3 linked regions of the Lonchura striata genome follow. The protein of the gene in region 1 purifies or fractionates together with the protein of each later gene. This does not show direct contact. Links are inferred from orthologs where the notes say so. Each region holds a gene or a part of one and is shown in the gene's direction. Other genes may lie near its edges. The genes, in order: DCP1B, BAG4 and EDC4.

Region 1 (7,075 bases):
GGGCTGAAAAACCCACATATTTCAGTTGTGCCTGGGAAGGGATGCAGCCAGACTCCAGCACAAAGCACAGGGCATTGGTTGCCAAAGAGGGAGAGTTACCATGCTGCAGCACTGAAGGCACATGCCCAGGAATATGTGGAGCATGGGTAATCAAGCCTTGCTGGATCATTCTGGCTCCATCAGAGCAACCTGCTGCTCCCAGGAAAGCAGCATGCTGGAAGGCATCACACAAATGCATTTAAGCAGCCCTGGATGAGTAAGAGGAACTTAGGAGTGCTGCCTCAGCACTCTCTCCTCTAGCAGGGGCAGCAGTGGTGCCACCAGTCAGGGTGAGAAGAAAACTGTGGCAGCCTTTGGGAAGGAATAAAAAGGAAAAGGCAACTACCATGCAATAACAGCGTCAAAGGGGCTGGAGAAGAGGAAGTGAGGCAAACGAGGTGCTCAGCACTACATTAGCTCAAGTGATTTCTGCTGTTTATCAGAAAAGGTGAAGCTCAGAGAAAGGAGCAAGTGTGGGCAGGTAGGCAGACAGCCAGGGGAGGCTGTGAGCTCAGCAGGGCTGTGAACACTTGTTTCTCACACAGTTCATTTCCCCCATTTGTCTGGTTCATACTGAGGCCACGCACACACCTGTGCCAGGCCGGACCAAGGTGCCAGAAGGGCAGGACTGAATGCCTGGGATTGCAGGGCTTGCATATGCTCAGCAGTGCCCCCAGATAAATCCACAGAAAATCACATGCTCAGCACCAATAATTTGCTGGAAGAAGCATGCCTGAATCTTTAAAAGTGTCACAGATCCTTGAATGCGAAGGTTTAATAACTGCTTGGAAAGCCCTCATGAAAAGGTTTGGCATGACCATCTCAACATTTGTTATTAAAGGAGACCTTCAAAATGTCATGCTGCAGGGATTTTGCCTTAAATCGGCCTGAGTATTATCTACACAAAATGTCATATCAAAAGCAAGATGTGGTTTCTGTTTTTTAACAGAACAGTATCCAGGTAGGTAAAGACAAAAAAGTTACATCCTAATTATATACTTCATGAAATTATGACATTTTGAAAGCTAGAAAATTACTTTTTTTCATAAACAAAGTTACAGCAAAATCATTCAGACTCAATTTTGCAGTTGTCATGAACTACTGGATTACTGACTGTAAGAAAAAGAAGCATAGTTTAAGTAATCAATGTTTTTAAGCTGTGACATTTTTGCTAAAACATCTTTAAGTTTTTAGAGAATTCACAGTGTTTCTCTTCTTAACATAGTCTTGTTTCATTGGAAAATTTTTAGTCTGCTATCAAGTGATCCCGTAAAGCAGGGCAGAACTAATGGCTTTATTAAATATATTTACTTCAGGCTAAATGGAAGGAGCAATTATATTCCACTTATGCAGGAAAACAGCTGGAACCCACTGAAGGTAGCTCAGAGTGTAACAGAAAATATAAAAAGGCCTGATCAGAAGCCTGACAGCTTCACTGACTCAAAACACAATGTTAGGGAACTGCCTGTCCAGCTGTGTGAGAAAGGGGCACAGGGACCTGGGAGGGAGGTGGTAAAAAGCAGTGACAAACAGAAACACACAGCCAAAAGATCTGACAGTCAGCTTCAAGAGATTTGAAGAGGAAAAAAAAAAAGGTAAAAAAGCAGGGCATCTTTTTTTAAGTATTATGGTTAGAGACAGGAAAAGCATCTGTAAAGGAAAAGTCAAGAAGTGAGACTCCAACAGTTTCACACTTCTAAGCCTTGCCGACAAGTTTGGACTTTGTGTAAGCAGGAGAATTGCCAAAGAATTGAAGATGATGGTAAAAAGAAGCCCCCAGCACATGAGGAGGAATCTGCTTAAGGGTGCCTGGAAACTGTGAATTGAGAACTATTTAATCAACAAAAAGAAACTAATACTCATCTTTTAATTATTTAAGCAAAAGCTGACTTATCTTTCCTACTTACTTTTTTTTTTTTTTTTTTTTTTTTTTTTTTTTTTTTTTTTTTTTTTTCCTCTCTACTCTGGGTCATGTCCAGACCAAGGACAGCATTTTTCCTTGTCCACCACGAGCCCATGTGTCTTCCTTGCTGTTACAGAATCTGTAGGTCAGCCAGAGCTTTGCAGTGCAACTGCTTAGAGCCATTTTCCTACCACAAGCATCACAAAAAACCCACAGAATTCTAAACTCTAAAGCTGTATTTCATCACAGCCCCAAATGAAACAAGGTGGCTTTAGACAAGGAGGAAATGAGAGAGAGACAGATTATAACCAGAGTATGTTCAGATGTTTCCTCTCCTAATAGATGCTTGCAGAGCAAGCTGTAGGTCCTTATTCTTGGTGATGCAATTTTTGATGACCTTCTGAGATACAATAAAACTCTCCTAAGTCCCAAAAACTATCCTTTTTGACAACATGGCCTCTCCTAACTCCACTCAAGAGACTTCACTCTCCGTACATTTAATTCTATGAATTCCCAGCTTGCTGTCTCTCAATTCTCTTCTATCCTCACTTCACACAATGAATCTTTTACCTAGACTTGCCTATGTGCTCTTGGAAGGACTCTACTGCTCACTCTATCCCACCGGCTCCATCTGGCCTGGAGCGAGAAGAAGGGAAGAAAAAACAGCAGACCTCATCCTCTCTGTTCAGCTCCTGTCCTTTCAAAAATGCTGTGTCAGGAATATTGCAAACAATTAAGACAGCATCCACTACCGTCACCTTGGTTCTTCCAGCGCATCCTGTTCTCTGGAAGTAAATATATCACGCTCCTGCTTCTGTACAGGGAAGGTGGTGACTGTCTCCAGAATGGCTACATCAGTCTGAGGTGATGAAGTAAAAAGAATTTGCTCTTGCAGAGCGTTCAGGCAGGAGGGTTAAGCAAAGCTTTTCCATGGAAGTATGTACTGAGCTTATCTGCATGCCTCATAAAGCTCATGTATTTGCTGTAAACTGTCGGTACCAACAGATTAGTAACAAACATGTGCATGTTTGTCTGATGGGAAAAGGTGGCAACTGAATCCTTGGTCTTGTCCATCTGTTGCTCGTGTTTGTGTAACTACATATTAGAGCATGCTTGCTTAGGTTTCAACTGCTTGTCACACATAGGAGTGTATATATATATATATACATCTATATATATATATATGAATGTGTTTGTGTGTATATTTATGCACACGAGGGCTGTGTGCTGCGTGGTGGTTTAGTTTGCAATGCCGCTCCCTTCGGCTGGGTGCAGGGGTGGATGAGGGTGCCAGCAAACACGGGCTGGCTGTGCTAGGCGATGCGAGCCTGGCCCGGGGGGCTGGGGCCGGGCAGAGCCCCTCACGGACCCCCGACCCCCTCACGGACCCCTGAACCCCTCCTGGACCCCCGAGCCCCTCACGGATCCCCCGCTGACACACGGGCTGGACGCTCGGTCCCGCTCTCTGCAGGGACACCAGAGCACCCACAAACTCAGAGCTGCTCGGGATCATCCCGCCCGACCCCTGCCCAGGCAGGGCCACCGGGAGCAGGTGGCACAGGAACGGCTCCAGGTGGGCTTGGAATGTCTCCGGAGAGACCCCACGGCCACCCTGGGCTGCTGTTCAGTGCCCTGCCATCCTCAGTGTGAAGTTCCACATGCTGCGGTGGAACTCCTCGGGCTTTAGTTTGTACCCGCCGCTCCGCGTCCTGTCGCTGGGCACAGGAAGTCTGGCACTTTCTCCTTGGCACCTGCCTTGGCGACATTTACAGATCCCTCTTAGATTTCTCTTTCCTACAGAGACCTAAAGCTGGACTAAACAGGCGCAGATCCCGCATGTCCCCTCCTCTAAGGGATGGAGGCTCCCCATCCGCAGCAGGAGCACCACAGCACTGCCAGGAGGACGGGGAGGAGCTGGAGCCACGAGCCGGTGTCGTGTGTGGGACGGCGCGTCCCTGCGCTGCTGCGGGCACACCGAGCGCCCCCGCGTCTCCATCCCTGCCGTCCCCGCCCGCCCCTCGCCACCGCCCGCCATCCCGAGCGGCCGCCGCTCGGCGCTCGATTGAGGCGGCTGCTCCCGGGGCGGCGCGGCTCGGCGGTGGATTGGTGGGGGCTGCGCGGCGGGCGCAAGATGGCGGCGGCGCTGGGCCGGGGGCTGGACATCAGCCTGGCGGCGCTGCGGCAGCACGACCCCTACATCAGCGGCATCGTGGACGTGGCCAGCCAGGTGGCGCTCTACACCTTCGGCCACCGCGCCAGCCAGTGGGTACGTGCGTGCCCGCCCCGCCCGCCGCGGCACGCCCCGCCCGCCGCCGAGGTGTGAGGGTGGGGGAGCGGGAGGGGCCTGCCGCTGTCTCCTCCCGGTGTCCCCGGTGTGCCCCCGGCAGCTGGCCCGGGCACGCCGAGGAGCCCCGGGGTGCGCGGGGATGCAGCTCTGGGAGGCTGCAGGATGGAGGAGTTCCGCCACGTGCGGTGGTGGAGGCTGGAGTTTAACCTAGAGCTGTGTTGGAAAAGGGTTTAGCCTGGGGCTGTGGTTTAATCTAGGGTTTAGCCCGAGGCCGTGGAAGATCGGGGTTAACCCAGGGCTGTGGAGGCTGGAGTTTAACCCAGGGCTGGTTTTTCTCCCAAGGCCATGGAAGGCTGTGGTTTAACTCAGGGCTGTTTCTTGTCCTAAGGCCATGGAAGACTGGGGTGTAACCCATGGCTGGGGTTTAACTCCTCTGCCTTTCCAACACCTATAATGAGACCCAAACATGTGCAAATGAATGGTGGAGTTACCAGTGCTAAAAGCATTGTTGTAAGATGTGCAAATGTAATTATCTTGGTGAAACTGGAGGTAATAGAACATTTAGGCTGTTGGCAAGTGGTTCTTGGTTTGCTGTAAGGGTGAGACTTTGGGCCTGTGTTTGAAGAACCTGCCCAATCTGCCTTTTGTGTTGTTTTCCCCCCCGTTTCTGTGCCAAACAACACCCTGGAGGGCAGGTGCCCTTTGAAAGCTCCTGTCTCTGCCTCTTGAGTGTGTGTTGTGCTCAGGTGTAACCTATAATTAACCCAGTGCAATGTTTAGTGCCATGGTGGTGTGCCTTCAGCCTTTCCATATCTTACCTCAAACCCTGGATCAGCTGTGTGGTGACCAGTGCTAGCTCCAGCCTCTCACCACCAACCCGTGAAATTTGGTTTAGTAATTTTTTCCTGTTTTGGGTGAGAGAGGTGTAACTGATGGTACTGATAAAACAGAAAAGGGGGCTCACTGATGGTAACCAAAACGCTGCCCTGTTTTCAACTTTCTTAATGTTCCTTTTCTTCAGGAGAAGACAGATGTGGAGGGAACGCTGTTTGTTTACACGAGGTGAGCACATTTTGACATATACAGGTGAAATCTGTGGATATGGAAAAGCTGCCTGGGATGGAGCATGGCTGAATGAAATAAAATGCTCCTCTTTGTTCAAGGGTGAAAAGAAACTGAAACTGCCAGAAGCAAATGTGGGAAAGAAAACCCTCTGAAGGAGACAAGACCTTGTATTTTGATAACACTTCCAAATGTGATTTAAATGTCAGTATGGGTAAACTGCAGAAATCTTCTGTGATGCTTTCAATAGGATTTTCAATTTAAATTTGTCTGAACAAAAAAAAAAAGTGAAATAATTATATTGCTTAAAGGAAGGGAATGTCAGAGATTTTGAAATACTGTGTCCCCTAATTAGGGAACTTTCATACTACTTGTGTCTGTTTTTCATGCATATTTCATCCAACATTTTGGATGGTTTTCATGTTTTTTTTTTTTTTAGCAGGAGCTCTGGTGGTGGCTTTCAGAGCATCATTTTTTGCACCATTTGTTCTAGTACGTGTTTGTTCTGTTGTGAAGCCCTGTGCTAGGGGCTCCTTGTTGGTGCCCCAGGATTTCTCTGTGACTGCTGTTAAAATCAGGAAGTTACACAGTCGGCAGCTCTTGCAGTAGCTGCCGAGGTGTAACACCAAAGCAGAAAGTTACTTTTTCAGCTTTCATATCAAAGAGGAGCTGGTAGGAGAGCTGAGAAAGCAAGAGATGGTTCTGAGAAGTGTGTGAGGTGACAGAGAGGCCCAAGAGCCTGTGAGCTCTGTGGGAAGTGGGAATGCTGTTTCAGTCTCTGCAGCTCTCTTGTACCAGCAATGGTGGCAGTGGTCATCAGTAGTTTTTCTAAGCTGCTCTCGGGTAAGTGGAGACCAGATGCTGTAAAATTACCACCACAAGAGGAAAGCAGCAGCCCTTTGTTGTGCTGGCACTAGGTGGATGTGGTGACTTGTGTGCTGAAAACAGAAGCAGTGTTTCCTGGTATGTTGGTTTCAAAGCTCAAGAATTGACAACATGAAACCTGGTCCTTCTGGTATTCTGGTATTTATCTTTCACTGTTGTTTTTGTTGCCTGAGGAGGTTTCCATTTAGGGCACAAGTTGCTGCCTGGCTGCACTTTAGCAGCAGTATGGAACAGGTTGTGAACAACTATGAGTAACAGCATGCATTGCCCTCATCATCAGTTTTAACTTTAATTTTCTGTAACTTCAAACACATTTATGAAGTCCTGTGGAAAGCACATTGCCAGCAGACAGTTTGGAGACCAGTGGTGCCGCCTTTGTTTCTTCTCATTACCTTAGTCACAATGTAAAATGATGGTTACCATTTTACTTGGGCTGACTTGCTGCCCAGCTCATCTTTGTGAATTAGAGGAAGTCAAAAAGTCAAACTTCCAACTGGATGAACACCATTGGAAGTGGACTGTTTGTTTGTTTGAAGTGAAATATTGATCCTTGCAAACAAGGCTTCTTGTCAAGGATTTCCTTTTGATTATTTTTTTGGTTAACTCCAATCCTGTAACACAGGTTCCTGTATTTTGGTTTAATAAAAAAATCCACACACCAGCAATTAAGTGGAGGTGGCACTTTTCCCAAATGTTTAGCCATCATCTTTTCCTTTCTTAACAAACTTGGTTTGAAAGGAGTGTCCCCTGTCAGGATCATGACAGGTTTAACAGTTTTATCTAAGTGACTTGAAGTGTAATCTCCATGAATGAGCATAATGGCTTAGAGTCGTAGCATGGTTTAGGTTCATCATTTATCAGGGATTATTCAGGGATGGGGGAGGATTCACAGCTGCTCT
Region 2 (7,703 bases), on another chromosome or scaffold:
AATGCTCAAGGCTGAAATGACATTTCTGGGATGAATTACGGCTTGGAGACCAGCACTCCCAGGAACCTGTGAATTACAGCTGCTTCCTTTGACGTCAGCCCCTGCACCCTCCTGCAGGGAGCCTGACCTTGCTCCCCCATTTCAACAGCTTGGCCCGGGGGGGGTCACCCCCTCACTGTGCCAGCAGCCCGGCCCCAGGGAGCCCTTTGTCTCCCCCAGCCTGTCCCCAGCTTTCCTGAGATGATTTGAGTCCCACCTGCCCTCCAGAAGGGTCCTGCTGCCCCACGGGATGTTCCTCTGTATTGTCAGGGCTGCCATCCTCCACTGTGTGCCAGAAAATACCTCAGGCTCAGGTCAGCAGTGTGGGGTTAGAGGGAGGTGCTGGAGGCATCAGGAGGAGGCAGAAACTGCACCATCCCTTTCCAAAACCTTTACTGGGAATTCCTCTTTGCAGCCATGCTCCCACAGGTGTGATTCCCGGGTGATGCCACAGCTCTCCCCACCTCTGGGCTTCACCCACCTGCTCCCATCTCCCTGCACATGGGGAGAGGGAGACCCAGGAGGGTTTGGAACCCCTGAGTCTCAGCCAGGAGTGTCCAGCCCAGAGCTCTGGCCAAGCACACGCAGAGCAGTGACAGGTCTGGGTGTTTGGGGCCACCAGAGACACCCCAGTGCTGTGCACTGCCCCAGCCCTCCCAGTCCCACCCCAGTGCTGTGCACTGCCCCAGCCCTCGCAGTCCCAGTCCCACCCCAGCTCTCCCAGTCCCATCCCAGTGCAGTCCCCTGCCCCAGGAGCAGGCACACACAGCCCCGGGGAGCCCCAGGCTCTGAGTGATCCAGGGCTGTTTTCCCGGATGGAGCCGCCGCTCCCGGCCTCGGCACAAGGCCACGCAGTTGTTTGTGAGAAGAACCAAAACAAACCGTGCAGAGCCGCCCCTCTGGCTCCGGGCTGGAGGGGCACGACCCCAGCTGTGCCCTCAGGAGGGGACACGGGCACAGCCACACCGTGCTGGTGAGGAAATGCTGCAGGTGGCCACACCCCAAAGCAGGACACAGACCCCAAAAAGCACTCAGAACCCTCAGGGGGATCTGGTTAACTGGGACACCCCAGCCCCCACAGCCCCCTGAGGCACCCCCAGGCTCCTGCACAAAGTCACCACACAGCTCCACTTGCATTCACCTAATAGGGCTTGAAGTACAAACGTTCACAAATGTACAAAACCACAATGATGCCAACCAAAGGCACCGGAGCCGCACCAGGGCCTGGAGGCTGAGGGACCCAAGAGCCCTGAGGGTGCCCTGACCCCCCACCCTGCCCAGCCCAGCCCCCTCCGAGCGCATTCCCCTCTCCCAGCCCGTTCCCACAGCAGGGCTGCAGCAGAGGTGGCTGTCGGGGTGACCCTGTCCCTCCTGCAGCAGCCCGGCCAGGGTGTCCCCCCATCCCAAGGCTGCCTGTGGTGCTATTTGGAGAGCAGAGACAAACCACAGCCCCTGGTGCCACAGAGGTCGACCCGACGCCCTGATAAGATAATGGGCTCAAGAGCAGCAAAGTGAGCCCATGTCCTGACCCCCACCAGCTCCCCACACCCCCAAAGCCCTGGGCTGCAGGGCTGGGACCCCACCACCGGGGCTGGGCAGCCCTTGCCTCCCCCCAGGCATCGCTGCCCTGATCCCCCCTCACCCCAAAACACTGCCAAACAAACAGGGACAGCAAAAACACCCCCAAAGAGCCATCCCCACCTGCCAGAGACTTTCCAGCCACAGGCGCCAGCTCCATAAATGCCTTTTATTAAATTCTGTTAGAACAAGAAATAGCATTTCTTTGTTTAAACTTTTGCTATCCACAACACCCACTCAAGCCCAACGGGGCAGAAATGTTTCCCACCAAAGCAAGTGGTCCCTGGGCCAGTGAGAGGGGGCCAGCAGTGGCCACAACAGCTGTCAGCTCTCCAGGGCAGCTGTGCTCAGCCCCAGCAAGCAGAGCTGTTTGTTCTCTGCCCCCCAGCAGGAACTCTTCACCCAAAGAACTCCCACTGCCCGAGGTTCCACAGGGACTGTGCCTGCCGAGGTTTGCCCTTCCCTGCCCACACCCAGGAGGCTCCTGGGGCCTGGCAGCTGCCCAAAGCCAGCCCCGAGGCCAAGGACTCTCCTCCCCAGGGAGGGCCGGGACACACGGGGCAAAGGACTCTCCAGCCTGGTACAGCTGCAGCAGCTCCCCCAGCAGCGAGGCCAGGAGGGGCTGGAGCTCCAGGCTCTGCCGTGTCCCAGGTGCAGCAGCTCTTCACCAGCAGGTAATTAGTGCTTTCAGCTGGTAATTAGCAGGCTCAGCTGCAGGGGAGTGGCACAGCCTAGCTGGGGGGTACGAGTGGTCTGTGTTGGGGTACGGGGGTACCCAGGTTCTGCTCCCCAGCCCAGAGCAGGATCTTGCCTTGGGCTCCAGTGTTCTCTCAGAGTGAGCCCAGCCCATGGCTGGACCAGGGGGCCTGTCTGTCCCTGCACAGCACACAGAGGGGACAAGAGCTAGCCTGAGGAGTGCTCATCCTGAGAGAGGGGGAACTGCCAGGACCAGAATACCGGAAAGCCATCAATGTCAGGTTCAAGGATTTATTTACATGTCAAGGAAAACTCTCACCCAAAGTCACGTGAGGAGGAAAAAGCAAACAAAGCCAAGGAGCAGTGATTTGCCTCCCAAACACAAATGCTTGCACTCCCAGTGCACTGGGCCCTCCTCATCTCCTTCTCCAGAAGGAGACTAAGGGCATGATTTGTGTGCAGTTACCAGCACCACAGAAAATACAATCTGAAAATGAAACCTGCCTTTCCAAGGCAGTCTGTCCCTGCCCAGGCAGGTCCTGGAGCAGCCCTCGCTCCTTGCAGGAAAGGGCAGCACCTCAGTACTCATCCAGCGTGTCGGCCCGCGGCACCGAGAGGCCCCTCTCCTTCAGCGCCTGCACCTTCAGCTTCTCCGACTCCTGCTTGGCCTGCTGTTCCACCCGCTGCTCCTCCAGGATCTCCTCGATGGACACCTGCTGCAGAGGCGTGTCGCTCTCCTTCTCCAGGTCCTGCAGGAGAAACGAGCCCTCAGCTCTGACAGCGTCCCTGGACCGCAGGGCACCTGTGCCCCCGCGGCAGCCAGCGGTGGGGCTGACAGAGAACAGAGGTGCTGGAAGCGCCCTGAGGGCTGGGGATGTGGGCAGGGATCCCCAGCACAGCCCTGGCAAGGGGCTCCTGGGCACCCCAAAGCAAACAGCGCTCGGCTCCTCCTGAGCCCATCCCAGGTGGTGTCTGCAGGGAGGTAACAGGCAGCCAGCATGACAGCCTCCAGCAGTGCCACACAAGCTGGAGCTTCCCCACAGCTCCCTCTGCGTTGTTCTTCGTTCTGGTGTCATCCCAGAGGGGCTGCGGCAGCAGGAGGCTGCCCTGCCATGCAGGCTGGCATTTCTGTGCTGGCTCAGCCTAAACTGGCCCTGGAGGTGGCTCCGATTCCAGCCCACAACAGCAACCGCATTTCAGAGCTGACAGACAGACAGGCAGACCACAACCCCCCAGCCCGGGCCCAGACTGCAGCGGGAGCCGAGCACTTACAATTTCCCCCAGCAGCACCACATTCTCGCCCCTCACCACGAAGATGCCCCGGGGGATGTCCCCATACTTCTTGCCCACGTGGATGCGCTCTACAGTCTGGTGCAACACCAAGTTTGCTGCAGCAACGAGACAGAGAGAAAAACACCGACGTTCCACGGCGAACTGTGGCCGAGCAGTGTCCCCCGTCCCACCGGAGCAGCACCGGCGCTGGCTCTCCCCTGGCGCTCGGTGCCTGCCCGGAGCCGGGTCACCGAAGCTACCGACACTGTCCCCACCCCGCGGCTCCGAGCCCACCCGGGCCCCCGCAGCACAGAAGATGATGGCGATGGTGGTGCTGCAAGCTCGGGGTGCTGGCCGGAGGATGAACATCACCCGGAGGACGAACATAACATCACCCGGCTGCTTCTCCCCAGAAAGCGACGCCAGAGCGCCAGCACTGGATGCAAGGGCGGGACGGGGAGCTCCCAGGTGTGGGAGAAGGGGTCCAGGGGACAGAGGGGGGGGTTCAACCCCCAGCACAAGCCCACTGGCAAGCAGCGCTCCCTCCTCCTCCTCGCCATCCCCGGCGCTGCCGCGGCCCGGCCGTACCGAACTGGTCGATGCTGCGCAGGTACCCGATGAGCGTCCGCCCGTCCCGCAGCAGCACCAGGTGCTTCTCTGCGGGAAAGGAGAGCGGCGGGTCGGCCACGGCCCCACGGCTCCGGGACCCGCTACGGGGAGAGGGGTCCGGGCGCCGCACGGGGAACCGCGGGCAGGACCCGGGGGCAGGGCAGGCACCGGCGGGCCACGGAGGGGACGGGGCGGGGCGCCCCGGGACACTCACTGTCGATGTCCTGGATCAGGCTGGCCGTGCCGGGCATGTAGTTCATGGTGCCGCCGCGCCCGCAGCGGAAGCGCCGCCATGCGCCGCCGCCGCCGCCGCCCCGGAACCGCCCGCGCGGGCGGGGCCCACCCGCCGCTGCCCTTTTAAGCCGCGCCAGCCGTGCGCGCGGGGCCGCCGCCGATTGGCCGGCGAGGGCGGGGAGCGGCCGCCGATTGGGCGCGGGGCGCGCGGGGGCGTGGCCTTGGCGGCGACCATGGAGCCCCGCACGGCCGGGCCGGGCCCGCCCGCGGCGGCCGCGCAGGTAACGGGGGCGAGGGGCGGGCACGGCCCCGGGAGGGCTCGGCCCCGGGAGGGCACGGCCACCGGGGAGGGCTCGGCCCCGGGAGGGCACGGCCACCGGGGAGGGCACGGCCCCGGGAGGGCACGGCCCCGGGAGGGCACGGCCACCGGGAGGGCACGGCCCCGGGAGGGCTCGGCCACCGGGAGGGCTCGGCCCCGGGAGGGCTCGGCCCCGGGATCGGCACAATTCCCGGGGCGGGCGGCAGCGCTCGGCCCGGCCCTGCCCCGATAACGGGCGCGCAGGGCGGGCCCCGGGAGCCTCCCCCGCCCCGCCGGTTTCTCGCGGAGCCCTCCGGGCGTGTGACGGGGCGGAGAGCAGCGCGGGGAGGCGCTGCCGGCGGAGCCGCCTCACGGGCGCCTGTGCCGTGCGGGGATCCCGGGAACGCGGGGCCCGGAGCGCTTTGCGGAGCGGGAGGGCCCCGGTCACGGGGCTGGGCATTCCCGGATCCGTACCTGCGGCGTTTATGGCAGCTGCGTTTCGGGCTGCCGTGCAAATTCCGTGTGGCGAGAAGGGCTTTGCCCGGCCGGGGCAGGCTCTGCCCTCCAGCCGTGCTTTGGTCTGGTTTGGTTTGGTTTGGTTTTTCTCCAGCCCTTCCATAAATCCCGGCACACAGGCTGCACAGCCTGCGCTCTGGAAGCAGCTCAGGGGCAGAACACTGCTTTGCCCGAAGGTACAGGGAGTCATTCCCCGAGCTCCTGAAAGCCTGTGCTTCACATCCCCTCTGCTGTCAGGTGGAAACTCGAGTTCCCTACACAACATGGGATGGATCCCGGTAAACCCTCGGATGTCCTTGGGTGTGCAGACCTTCCGTACAGAGATGCACATGAGCTGCAGCTCTAGGAGCTCCAGGAGCTGAACACTGGCTGGCAGAGCTCGTCTGTTTGAGAATCAGCAGGGAAATGAACTTTTCTGGAGAGTTTTCCATCCTCCCGTCAGTGATGCAGTACTGGCATAGAATCCTCCAGGAGCTGCTCACTGTGAGGGGCTGCACGCCTCCCCCTGAGCCCAGCTCGGCTGAGCAAGACCTGGTTAAGCTTAGTGCTAGACCTGGTACAGCCAGGTTAGACCAGGAAAGCCTAAAACTGGGGCAGATCACTTGAGGGCAAAGGAACCCCCTGGTTCAATGCAGGAAGGGCCAGACCTTGTTCCTGGAGCACCTCTGCCTGTGTCCATGTCCCGTCACCTTCCCTGTGCTCTTCCCTTGTCCCCAGGCCATGGATTCTCCCTATGCCAACGGAGCCTACAGCCCCCCGTACCCGCACTACGCCAGCCTGCCGCAGGCACGGGGCTTCTACTGCTCGGGGCCCGCGCGCAGCCCCTACCCCCCGGAGCCCGCGGGCCTCTACCGGCCCCCGTCGCCCGCTCCCGCCTGGAGCTACGGCCCCCCGGAGTGTCCCCCCGAGGGCTCGGCCCTCCGCAGGCAGCAGGCCCCCAGCTACTCCCCGCCACAGGTAAGGGCACTGCCAGCGCGGCACGAGTGGTGCCCGGGACGTGTCGTGGGGCTGTGCAGGGGGAAAAGGCTCTGGTGGGCTGGGGGTGCCCGTGGCTCTGGAGTGTCTTGTCCTGCCTGCTTTAATCTTACCAAAACTGGTGGTCACCCTGTTCTTTGGAAACCCTCAGCTTTTGGGCTGGGAAAGTGGGAATTGGGCAGCCAACCTGAGCTGCAGCCGTTCCATCCAGCTCCCAGGGCTGTGTGAGGGAACAGGGCTGGCAGTGATCCCCTGTAATGCCTGTCCAGGTCTGTGTGAGGGGACAGGGCTGGCAATGATCTCCCTGCAATGCCTGTCCCAGCTCCCAGGGCTGTGTGAGGGGACAGGGCTGGCAGTGACCCCCCCCTGCAATGCCCGTCCCAGCTCCCAGGGCAGGCAGTGACCCCCCTGCAATGCCTGTCCAGGTCTGTGTGAGGGGACAGGGCTGGCAGTGACCCCCTGCAATGCCCGTCCCAGCTCCCAGGGCTGTGTGAGGGGACAGGGCTGGCAGTGACCCCCTGTAATGCCTGTCCCAGCTCCCAGGGCTGGCAATGACCCCCTGCAATGCCTGTCCCAGCTCCCAGGGCTGGCAGTGACCCCCCTGCAATGCCCGTCCCAGCTCCCAGGGCTGTGTGAGGGGGCAGGGCTGGCAGTGACCCCTCTGTAACGCCTGTTTCCCTGTCTGTGCAGACCCCAGGAATGCCAGTGCCGCAGTATCCATACGGGGACAGCAGCACAGGGCTCACGGGGCAGGGCCTGGTGCCACAGCCCAGAGCCCTGGAGGACACGTGGGGCCCCCACTCTGGCTATGGGGCGCAGCCTCGCTACGCCTGGCCCGCCTCGGGGCACGGCAGCCTCTACGTCTCGGATTCACACCCATCCTGGACCAGCAGCGGGGCTGCTTCCCACCCTCCCACCTGGGAGTCACAGGGACAGGTGAGGTCCTGTGTGCATGCAGAAGACTTAAATCCCTGGCTGCAATTCCATAAAGTACTGGAAGGACAAGATGTCCTGGGGTGGGTCTTGAAATGGGTCTGACAGGCCAGGTTGGATCAGGGATTAAGTGACTCCATGTTTTTGGTGCCTGGCAGTAGCAGCCCTGTTGGGGGGTTCAGGGCTCAGACTGCTCTGGGCAGGTGCCCCTTGCTGGGCTTTCTCTTTCTGACATGGGAGCAGAGCACAGGTCCCTGTCCCCAGCGTCCCCAGCCCTGTCTGCTGTTTGGCGCAGGATGAGAGCGGAAACCTCCGGGTTGAAGGGAAATGCACTTAGAGATGTTTTCTCCCTCTGTCTGCAGGACTCTGTCTACAGACCTGAGCAAAGCCCCAGCCAGCACAGTTACTATTCTGATGGCAACCAGCGGCTCTCGGGGCCAGTGAACGAGCACAGGGCGGCCAAGCCTGCCCCGTGCCAGCCCCGGGTGCAGTACAGTGCCCAGCCCCAGCTCTATGACCTCGCTGCTCGCAAGCCCATGGCCAGGAGCCAGGA
Region 3 (7,587 bases), on another chromosome or scaffold:
TAAAAAGTAATTGAGTACTTCCAACAAGCTGAAAGCAAACTCTTCTCAGTGGAGCCAGACAGTGTAACAAGAGACAGTGGTTAGAAACCATAACTTGGAAGGTACTGATGGGGAAGAGAAGATTTTGTGAGAAGACTGAAATCCTGGGAAGTGGTGCCTGAGCATCTTGTGAAACATCTGTTCTGTGAGAATTTGAAGACTCTGCTAGACAAGGCTGTGGCCTTTGAAAGATGTCCCTGCCCAGGACAGGATGATTGGATTAGATGATCTCTAAAGGTCCTTCTGTGGACTTTTACCATCTCTGTTCCAAACCAGCGTGTTCTGTGGTTCTGTGATGCAGAGCTGCTGCAGTCTGTGCTCATGCTGAGCAAAAGGCTGGCCTGGAAATCAGAAGATTCTTCCAGTCTAATTCTGGGACTTGTTTAATTTTTGTTTTAATTCAGTGATGTCATGGAAGAACTTGAACTGCACAAAGGAAAGTTTTATAGGAAGACTAAAGCCCCTTGTGTTTTGAGCCTGGGCTCACAGGGGTGGAATGCAAATCCTGAGTTGGACATGCCTGAATTTGGAGTGAAAAGTAAGGAGAGGGAGTTTCAGTGGTGTTATCTGAGCTGTGATGAAGATCTAAAATAATACAGAATAGGATTAGTCTGTGTTTTCTGTGGTATCTTGAGTCACTAAACTGTGAGCCTTTGCTATGTGCTAATATTACATAGTCAAAATTGGGGAATGGACTATAAAGTATATACGTCACCTTGAATGTAGTCTAGGATTTTCCTTGTTTTTAAAGTACACTGCTCATCTATGCTATGAAGGGATAACATGAAAGGAATAAAGAAAATAATAATGTGTGACTTCATTGTTGGAATTTGTTGTCTGTACCACACCAGATGTTTTGGGGAGAATTCCCTTTTAGTCTTTATTCATGTGTCCAGCGCTGAATTTCTTAAGAAAGGAGGAAATTCTCCTTAAGCCAAAGCATCAAGAGCTGCAGTGCTCTTATCAGAGGCTACCTAGGCTTATCAGAAATCAAGGAGACCTACAGTAAAGCTTGTCTGGTGATGGTATTTTTTTTTTCCAGAGGTATCTATTAAAGCATATTTACGTCAGTAATGACAAGCTCAAATTTGGTGTGAAAAGTACTTATGCAACTTGTAATAGATGCCTCGGTGATCTGCAACAAGGAGGACAACTGGGAGTTGAGAACCTGCTAACTCCCAAGCAGTGATGAGGCTCTCCTGGGATGGGTTACACTGGATACCCAGGAAAAGCTGGAAAAGGCACAAACCCATGGGCTTCGGTGCACAGGCCACCTCTACAGCACGGATATGTGAGCCTCTGTTCTGGGCACGTGCAGTAGAGATAATATTTCCTTTGAAACACTTGCCATGGCTGCTGGCAGATGTGCTGATGCACGCCATGGATGGCTGGTCTAGCCCAGCAGAATTGCTGGTGCTCACACTGGGCTCGTTCCTAGGGAGCTTCTGCCCCATGCAAAGCAGGTGTGTACTGAGGGACAAGCTGCCCTGTTTGTTGGCTGGACAGTGACTGCTGGCACCTGTCTTGCTTTGAGGATTTTTTCGCTCATTCTCAGAGAATTCTCTCAGTCTCAGTCATGTATTGAACACTGGCTTGCACATAATCCTGGCCTTACTTGTTGCCTTCCTAATTTCTGGCTGTAATAGTTTCCTCATTCACTTTCTTCTTCATGATTTTGTAGTAATTTATCTTGTCTATTCTCCCCATTCTCATTATGTTTTTGCAAGCTGAAAAGTTTTACTCAATTTACTTTCTTCAGTAGGAAACCATCCTCTAGCTGGATCATTTTTCTTGTCCTTTTATGACTTTACTGTAGCATTTTATTTTTTAACTTATAAGAAACGCATGCAGGTTTTGATATGTGGGTGCTCTTTGCCTATTTATGCATTTGCTTACTTCTGGGATTTGGTTCTTTGTTCTTCCCTAACAACTGCTAACCCTGTGCTTGCCTTGATAGCTTTACAGCTCTCAGCTGGTTTAATAAATACATATCAATTATTATTTCAGTGTCACTTTCATGAGGGGCCAGTCTAGGGCCCACTTTGGTTTACTCTGTGAATTAACACACACTTACTGAAACTGCACTTCATGTACACCACTTAACTTCCCAGCTGGTTGTCACTGTGAAATCCTTGCAGTGGTTATGGATCTGAATGCTTCCTTTCCATGCACCTGATGCCACCAATGTTCTGGCACACCTGCTGTCCTGTGATAGAAGTGATGTCCTTTGCAAGTTGGTCCTCAAAACTGACTTGTTTCACTGTCCATGAATACTTTTTTTAAAGTAAAGTTTCTTTTCTGATCTTTCTGTAGTCTGCTTTGCTCTTCACTTTTCACTTGTTCTCAGTGAACAGCAGCAGAGCATTGCCAATGAACATTCAGTGCTTTGAGTGCCTCTTTCATGAGCTGCTCTGGCTGCTGCTTTTCAAGCCTTTTTTAAAATAAATTTCCTCCCTTTTCTGAAGCTGAATAGTGATGTGTTGAAAAAATAAAGCTTAAAATCCTCCAGAAATGCTGAATTGAACACACTACAGCCACCATCAGAAGATTGTAGTTGGCCCTGTGTGCTGTTCAGATTAAATCCTGTTGTGTGGTTTCCAGCTGATTGATTTGGGAATCATTTATGTTATTTTGAGGATTTAATTCCTGCACGATGTCTCTGAAACTATGGATAAATAAAATTGGGTGGAAGTACTTACTAGTCTCCCTCTAATACTACTTTCTAGTTTTGTAGTAATGTTGTAAATACCCAGATGTGTTGTCAGGCAGGAGTGGAGGCACAGCTGCAGCCATTCCCTGTGCTTAGGACACGTTGTCACAGCTGTAGTGAATGCTCTGCTCCCTTCCAGCTGTTGCTGCAAGTGGGAAGTGCTGTGTTTCTGGCCAGCTGCACCTGCTCTGGCAAGGCTTTCAAAGCCCAGATCACCTGGATCATCCAGGCAACATGTTGATACCAACCTCTACAGAAACTCCCTTCTGCCATCAACCCAAAGTTCAGCAGTTAAAAATCACACCACTTTCTTTTAAGATTAATTCCTGGGCAAGGGCTTTGTGATTCAACACTGAGGCAGGCATGTTCCATCAGTGTGGTGAGTGACATGTCAGTAAGTCTTCCACCAAACCCCAACTTCAGATGCCGTTGCAGCATTTCCATGTCTCTGGGCCCTGGGTGTTTGTCTGCAAAGCCCTTCAGAACAGGTCCTCTGGTGGTGTTGGTGTCTCCTGGGGTGCTACACATTTTACAGCATGTAATGTCACTATTAATGTTAGCTTGAAGTTGTCTCATCATGAGTTTTGGAATAAGCTTATCAAAAAAATTAGTGTTTTGAACCTTTTTTCCCCCTCTCTCTTTCTACAGGCTGATGAAGATCCTATCATGGGATTCCACCAGATATTTCTATTAAAGAACATCAACGATGCCTGGGTTTGCACCAATGACATGTTCAGGCTAGCACTGCACAACTTTGGCTGAGCAGCCCATCCCGAGGCACCCGGGCTTTTTTTTTTTTCTTTTTTCTTTTATTTTTTCTTTCTTTTTTTTTTTTTTTTTTTTTCCCGTTTTCCTCCTCTCCTCTTAACTGGTATTATTCACACTCACGGAACATTCCAAATATCATACACAAACCTGCAGCACTGCAGAGCGTGAGCAAGCAAGACTTGTGACCTGCCCTTCTGCTGAGTTTACATTGTCACTAGATGAGTTTCTTGTGCATGATGTTTGGAAGTTAGACTTAGCTGCATTTGATAAGAGAAATTTGTGTTGTACCAGCATGCCTCGGAAAGAATTTATAATGCAAAAGGTTGTTGTTTATGTACTGACAAGATGCTCTATAACCCAAAGAAATGAAAGAACAGCAGCCTGTACAGCCCAGTTATTGATTTGTTCAGATGTTTCAATGCTACATTACACAATAAAACAGAGATTTTCTTAAAAGTTTAAATTGTTTTTATGAGTTGGCTGTGGAGTGTGTGTGATAAGTGCTTGCTGGGGGTAGATTGTGTCTGTCTGGTGGGGGAATGCTTGCAGAGCTGGAGCTCCAGCTGAACAATGCCTCACAGTTTCAGCAGCGAGTGCAGGGCACGTCTGCCCTCCTCCATACACCATCTCCTCAGCAGCTTTTGTAACCGAGCCTTCTGGCTCAGTTTTTAACACCGACAGCTTCGTTCTCACCTGTTGTATTTTACGGATGCAAATTCCCCACTAGTACAGTGGCGGTAGCCTGCAGTCGGTCTCCGTGCCCGCTCCAAGCCACGGGACACCTTTGTTCCCTCCGCAGGCGAACGCACACGGGCAGTCTGTGCCTGGAGCTCCGCTCGGTTCCGCGCTGCGCTGTGTGCAGCCTCCCCGTCCGGCGGCAGCCGCCGTGTGCGGGGCGGCGGCGGGGGAGCCCCGGGCCGCCGCGGCCCCGCCCCGCCGCGCCGGGAACGCTCCGTTCGGGCGGCGGTTTCCGCCCGGCGCTCGCAGGGCCGGGCCGGAGGCGGAAGCGCGGGCGGCGGGGCCGGGCCGGGCAGCGCGGTGGCGGCGGCGCGGGCGGGCGGCGCGCCGGGCCCCATGGCCTCCTGCTCCAGCATCGACATCGAGGACGCCACGCAGCACCTGCGGGACATCCTCAAGCTGGACCGGCCGGGAGGTGAGGAGCGGCGGGGCGCGGGAGGCCGCCGGGCCGGGCCGGGCGGGGCCTGGTCTCGGCCGGGCCGCGGGAGCCCCTCGGCCGTTGCGCCGCCGCCCCGCCGGTTGTCAGCGGCCGCGCTCGGGGCCCGGCCGGGACCGCTTCGCCTCGGGGCGCCTGGCAGCGCCCTCCGACCCGCCCAGGGCCAGGGGTCCCGCTCGGCACTGCCTCGCTGAGCCCGCGGTGAGGAGAGGAGAGGGGAGGGAGCCCCGGCCTGGGGACCCTCGCTTGAGGGAGGGGCTGCTGGCGCTGGGCAGAGCGAGAGCAGCCCGGCCCCAGAGCTCGCTGCTGCGGCGCTCTCGGGGCTCCATTCAGCTGGAGGTGTTGCTGCTGGGAGCTGAACCGCACCGAGCTCCGTGACACGAGTGTCCCCCCTTCCCGGGAGCACTGGGAGTGGATCGAGTGGAAGAGGCTTGTAGGCTGCTCTGAGATCAGTGCCAGGTTCCTCCTTTACACGAACTTTTCGCTCTCCTTATTTGTACGTGAAATGGGATCACGGATATCTCTTCTGAAGTGTTTGTGAGTCTTTTGTGCTCGGAACTATCATACTTCCCTGCTCAGAGTTCAGCGGGCTCCCTTCTGCCTGTAAGAGTATCAGCAGCAGGCTCAGGAGTCAGCTGGTTAGTGTTCCCACTCCCCTGGAGCTTCGGCTCTCGATCTCATCTCCTTTGTTGAACCTGCTGTGGTGTTTCAGTCAAATGTGGTGAGGTAACACTCTGAAGGAGGCTGAGACATGAATGCTGTGCAAAAATATCTTAACCTCTGGGTAGAGGACAGAATTATGCCCCTCTTATGCTCCTTTCAAGAGAAAGGCAGGACAGGAATAATATAACTTCAAAATGTCCTGAGACTCAGCGGGAACATGCTACCTCCAAAGCATCTGCCATGTGTGCTGCCTTTTGCTTGGGCAAAAGGAAGAGAGGGTGGGTGTGGGATTGTTGTGGAGGGCTGTAGAGGCCCTTGAAGTGATGGGCTAAACCTACAGGAAGGCAGCTTCATTAGCTCTACTACCCTTAGAGAAACTTCTCATTAATTGGAGTAGTTTTTGTGGTTTCTGGAGTGCTAGCACATGTCCTGAATTCTAATTCTTACAAGAAAAATTCGTATTTTATTTGTAGTGCAGCACAGTACTTGGAAAACTGAAAGGAGAACTCAGTGCAGGGATGGGGAAGACTCGTTTCACAAGCAGTTTCTGAACTGAAAGGATATATTGTGGTTGAGAAATGGTTGGAGTTGTTGCTCAAGATGACTTGACTTTCTTCTGAAGCAGCTTCTCCTGCTGGTTGAAGTCAAGGAGTTACTGACAGAATATGGCTTATTTTTTTCATTCTTCTTTCCTCTTCATTCTCTTTTTGCCTTCTCTGTCAACTCCAGTGCACAAGAAGGCATCTGAGAGGAGAAGGAACAAGTGGGCAGGAAGTTCACAGGAGGAACCTGTGGCTATTCTCAGCAGAAATCACTGCCTGCATAACAGCAAATAAACTTGAAAAGACTCACATAATAAGGGGAAGAAGAAGAGTGCACATGTTAGCTGAAAGTCTCTGAAACTCCTGTTAGGCTGCCAGGGGAGAGGAATAGGGGAGCCTTCAAGTTTTGCAGTACCAAGTGCAGGTAGCCCTGAGCAGTGTTGTGTTCCTCTAGATCCTGTCCAGGCAGGTGACAAGAAACACTCCCTGCTCCAAAGAGTTCACAACTGTCACAATACCCTTTAAATTCTGCTGGGCTTGGTGAAAATGTAATCCACTGCCCAGTCTGTCTCTCTTGACACAGTTTCTCCCAGTTTTGGCGAACTTCTTGCAATGCTTCAGTAGCTGTTGCCAAAGCATGGACCTGCTTGCTGGGATGTGGGGACAGGCTGTCAGTGCCATTGTGCTGAAGAGGAGCATCCCTGCTGGTGTGGGCAGGATCCTTCAATCCATAAGAGATCTCTGCTGATAACCAGGTGTTATGTGGGCTCACCCTGCTCATGGTGCATCAGGGCAGTGTTCTGTTCAGTGCATGCTGGCATCTCCTGGTGCTGATGGTGGGAGCAGGAAGAGTTCAGTGTCTCAGCTCTGACTGCTCCTGCTCTTTGAAAAGGTAATGAATTCATACACCTTTCTTTCTCTTTGAGACCTTTATCTACCAGTCTGGCTTAACTTTTTGGTTTAGTTCATGTTCTTACTAAACAGAGCCTCTTCCCTTCTTTTATGCCTTCAGGATTGTGCACAGGCAGCACCTATGCTTGTCTGGCTTCCACTAACACAGACTGAGCTGTGCCCATTCCTGAACTTGGGTGTGCTGTTGTTGGGCCCATCAGCCTCTGGGGAGTGTTTTCATCGTTCCTTTTTCCCATGGAGCAAACATCACTATCCTGCTGTCTGTAAAAGAGCAGCAGTACTTACATGAGAGTCCTGTGGCTGCAAAAGGGCAAAGCACATATCATCTTTCTCTGAGAGACGGGATGCTTTTTCTGTAGGGAATATTTCCCTGCCTTTGGTCACAAAGGATCAAGTGCTGTCAGTGGAAGTAGCTGCAACTGGACAAGCACCCACCATATGCTCTAGGAATAAGGGGCAGATCTTAATGCTGACAGCAAGCATAGCACCAGTGTGAGGTGCTGGATCACATTCCTTGCTTGAGTTTCCTTGTGCTGTGTGAGTGCTGCTGCTTTTTCTTCATGCAGTGCAGGTACACTGAGGCAAGTGCCCGAATTGTCCCTGCATCAGTGTACCCTGTCACTGCACATTCCTGTGTCCATAATGACTCTTCATAAACAGGCAAGCTTAAAATACCCTTCTGGCAAATTAATAACTGCAGTTGTGTTTTAGGCAGCAGCACTCACCCTGATCTGTTGAAGCCTATTCAGTGGCAGAAAGGTTGTCTTACTTTGGAAGGC

What was found.
Region 2: the proteins of DCP1B (region 1) and BAG4 purify together in Homo sapiens (affinity purification with mass spectrometry; 3 studies listed by BioGRID and IntAct, counting the BioPlex papers as one, with this or other methods). This does not show direct contact. The link is inferred for Lonchura striata from reciprocal best matches to the Homo sapiens genes DCP1B and BAG4.
Region 3: the proteins of DCP1B (region 1) and EDC4 purify together in Homo sapiens (affinity purification with mass spectrometry; 3 studies listed by BioGRID and IntAct, with this or other methods). This does not show direct contact. The link is inferred for Lonchura striata from reciprocal best matches to the Homo sapiens genes DCP1B and EDC4.

Annotation. Positions count from the first base shown.
Region 1 is NC_134607.1:12,757,743-12,764,817, reverse strand, and holds the start of DCP1B (mRNA-decapping enzyme 1B), read left to right. Parts: upstream 1-4,039; 5' UTR 4,040-4,073; coding exon 4,074-4,208; intron 4,209-5,250; coding exon 5,251-5,291; intron 5,292-7,075. UniProt on the Homo sapiens protein: May play a role in the degradation of mRNAs, both in normal mRNA turnover and in nonsense-mediated mRNA decay. May remove the 7-methyl guanine cap structure from mRNA molecules, yielding a 5'-phosphorylated mRNA fragment and 7m-GDP.
Region 2 is NC_134634.1:4,382,762-4,390,464, forward strand, and holds the start of BAG4 (BAG family molecular chaperone regulator 4), read left to right. Parts: upstream 1-4,659; 5' UTR 4,660-4,661; coding exon 4,662-4,709; intron 4,710-5,959; coding exon 5,960-6,199; intron 6,200-6,907; coding exon 6,908-7,153; intron 7,154-7,512; coding exon 7,513-7,703. Other genes in the region: U6 snRNA-associated Sm-like protein LSm1, read right to left, coding at 2,892-3,062, 3,586-3,701, 4,174-4,242, 4,409-4,454. UniProt on the Homo sapiens protein: Inhibits the chaperone activity of HSP70/HSC70 by promoting substrate release. Prevents constitutive TNFRSF1A signaling. Negative regulator of PRKN translocation to damaged mitochondria.
Region 3 is NC_134615.1:16,944,123-16,951,709, reverse strand, and holds the start of EDC4 (enhancer of mRNA-decapping protein 4), read left to right. Parts: upstream 1-4,542; 5' UTR 4,543-4,591; coding exon 4,592-4,670; intron 4,671-7,587. Other genes in the region: NUTF2 (nuclear transport factor 2), read left to right, coding at 3,398-3,511. UniProt on the Homo sapiens protein: In the process of mRNA degradation, seems to play a role in mRNA decapping. Component of a complex containing DCP2 and DCP1A which functions in decapping of ARE-containing mRNAs. Promotes complex formation between DCP1A and DCP2.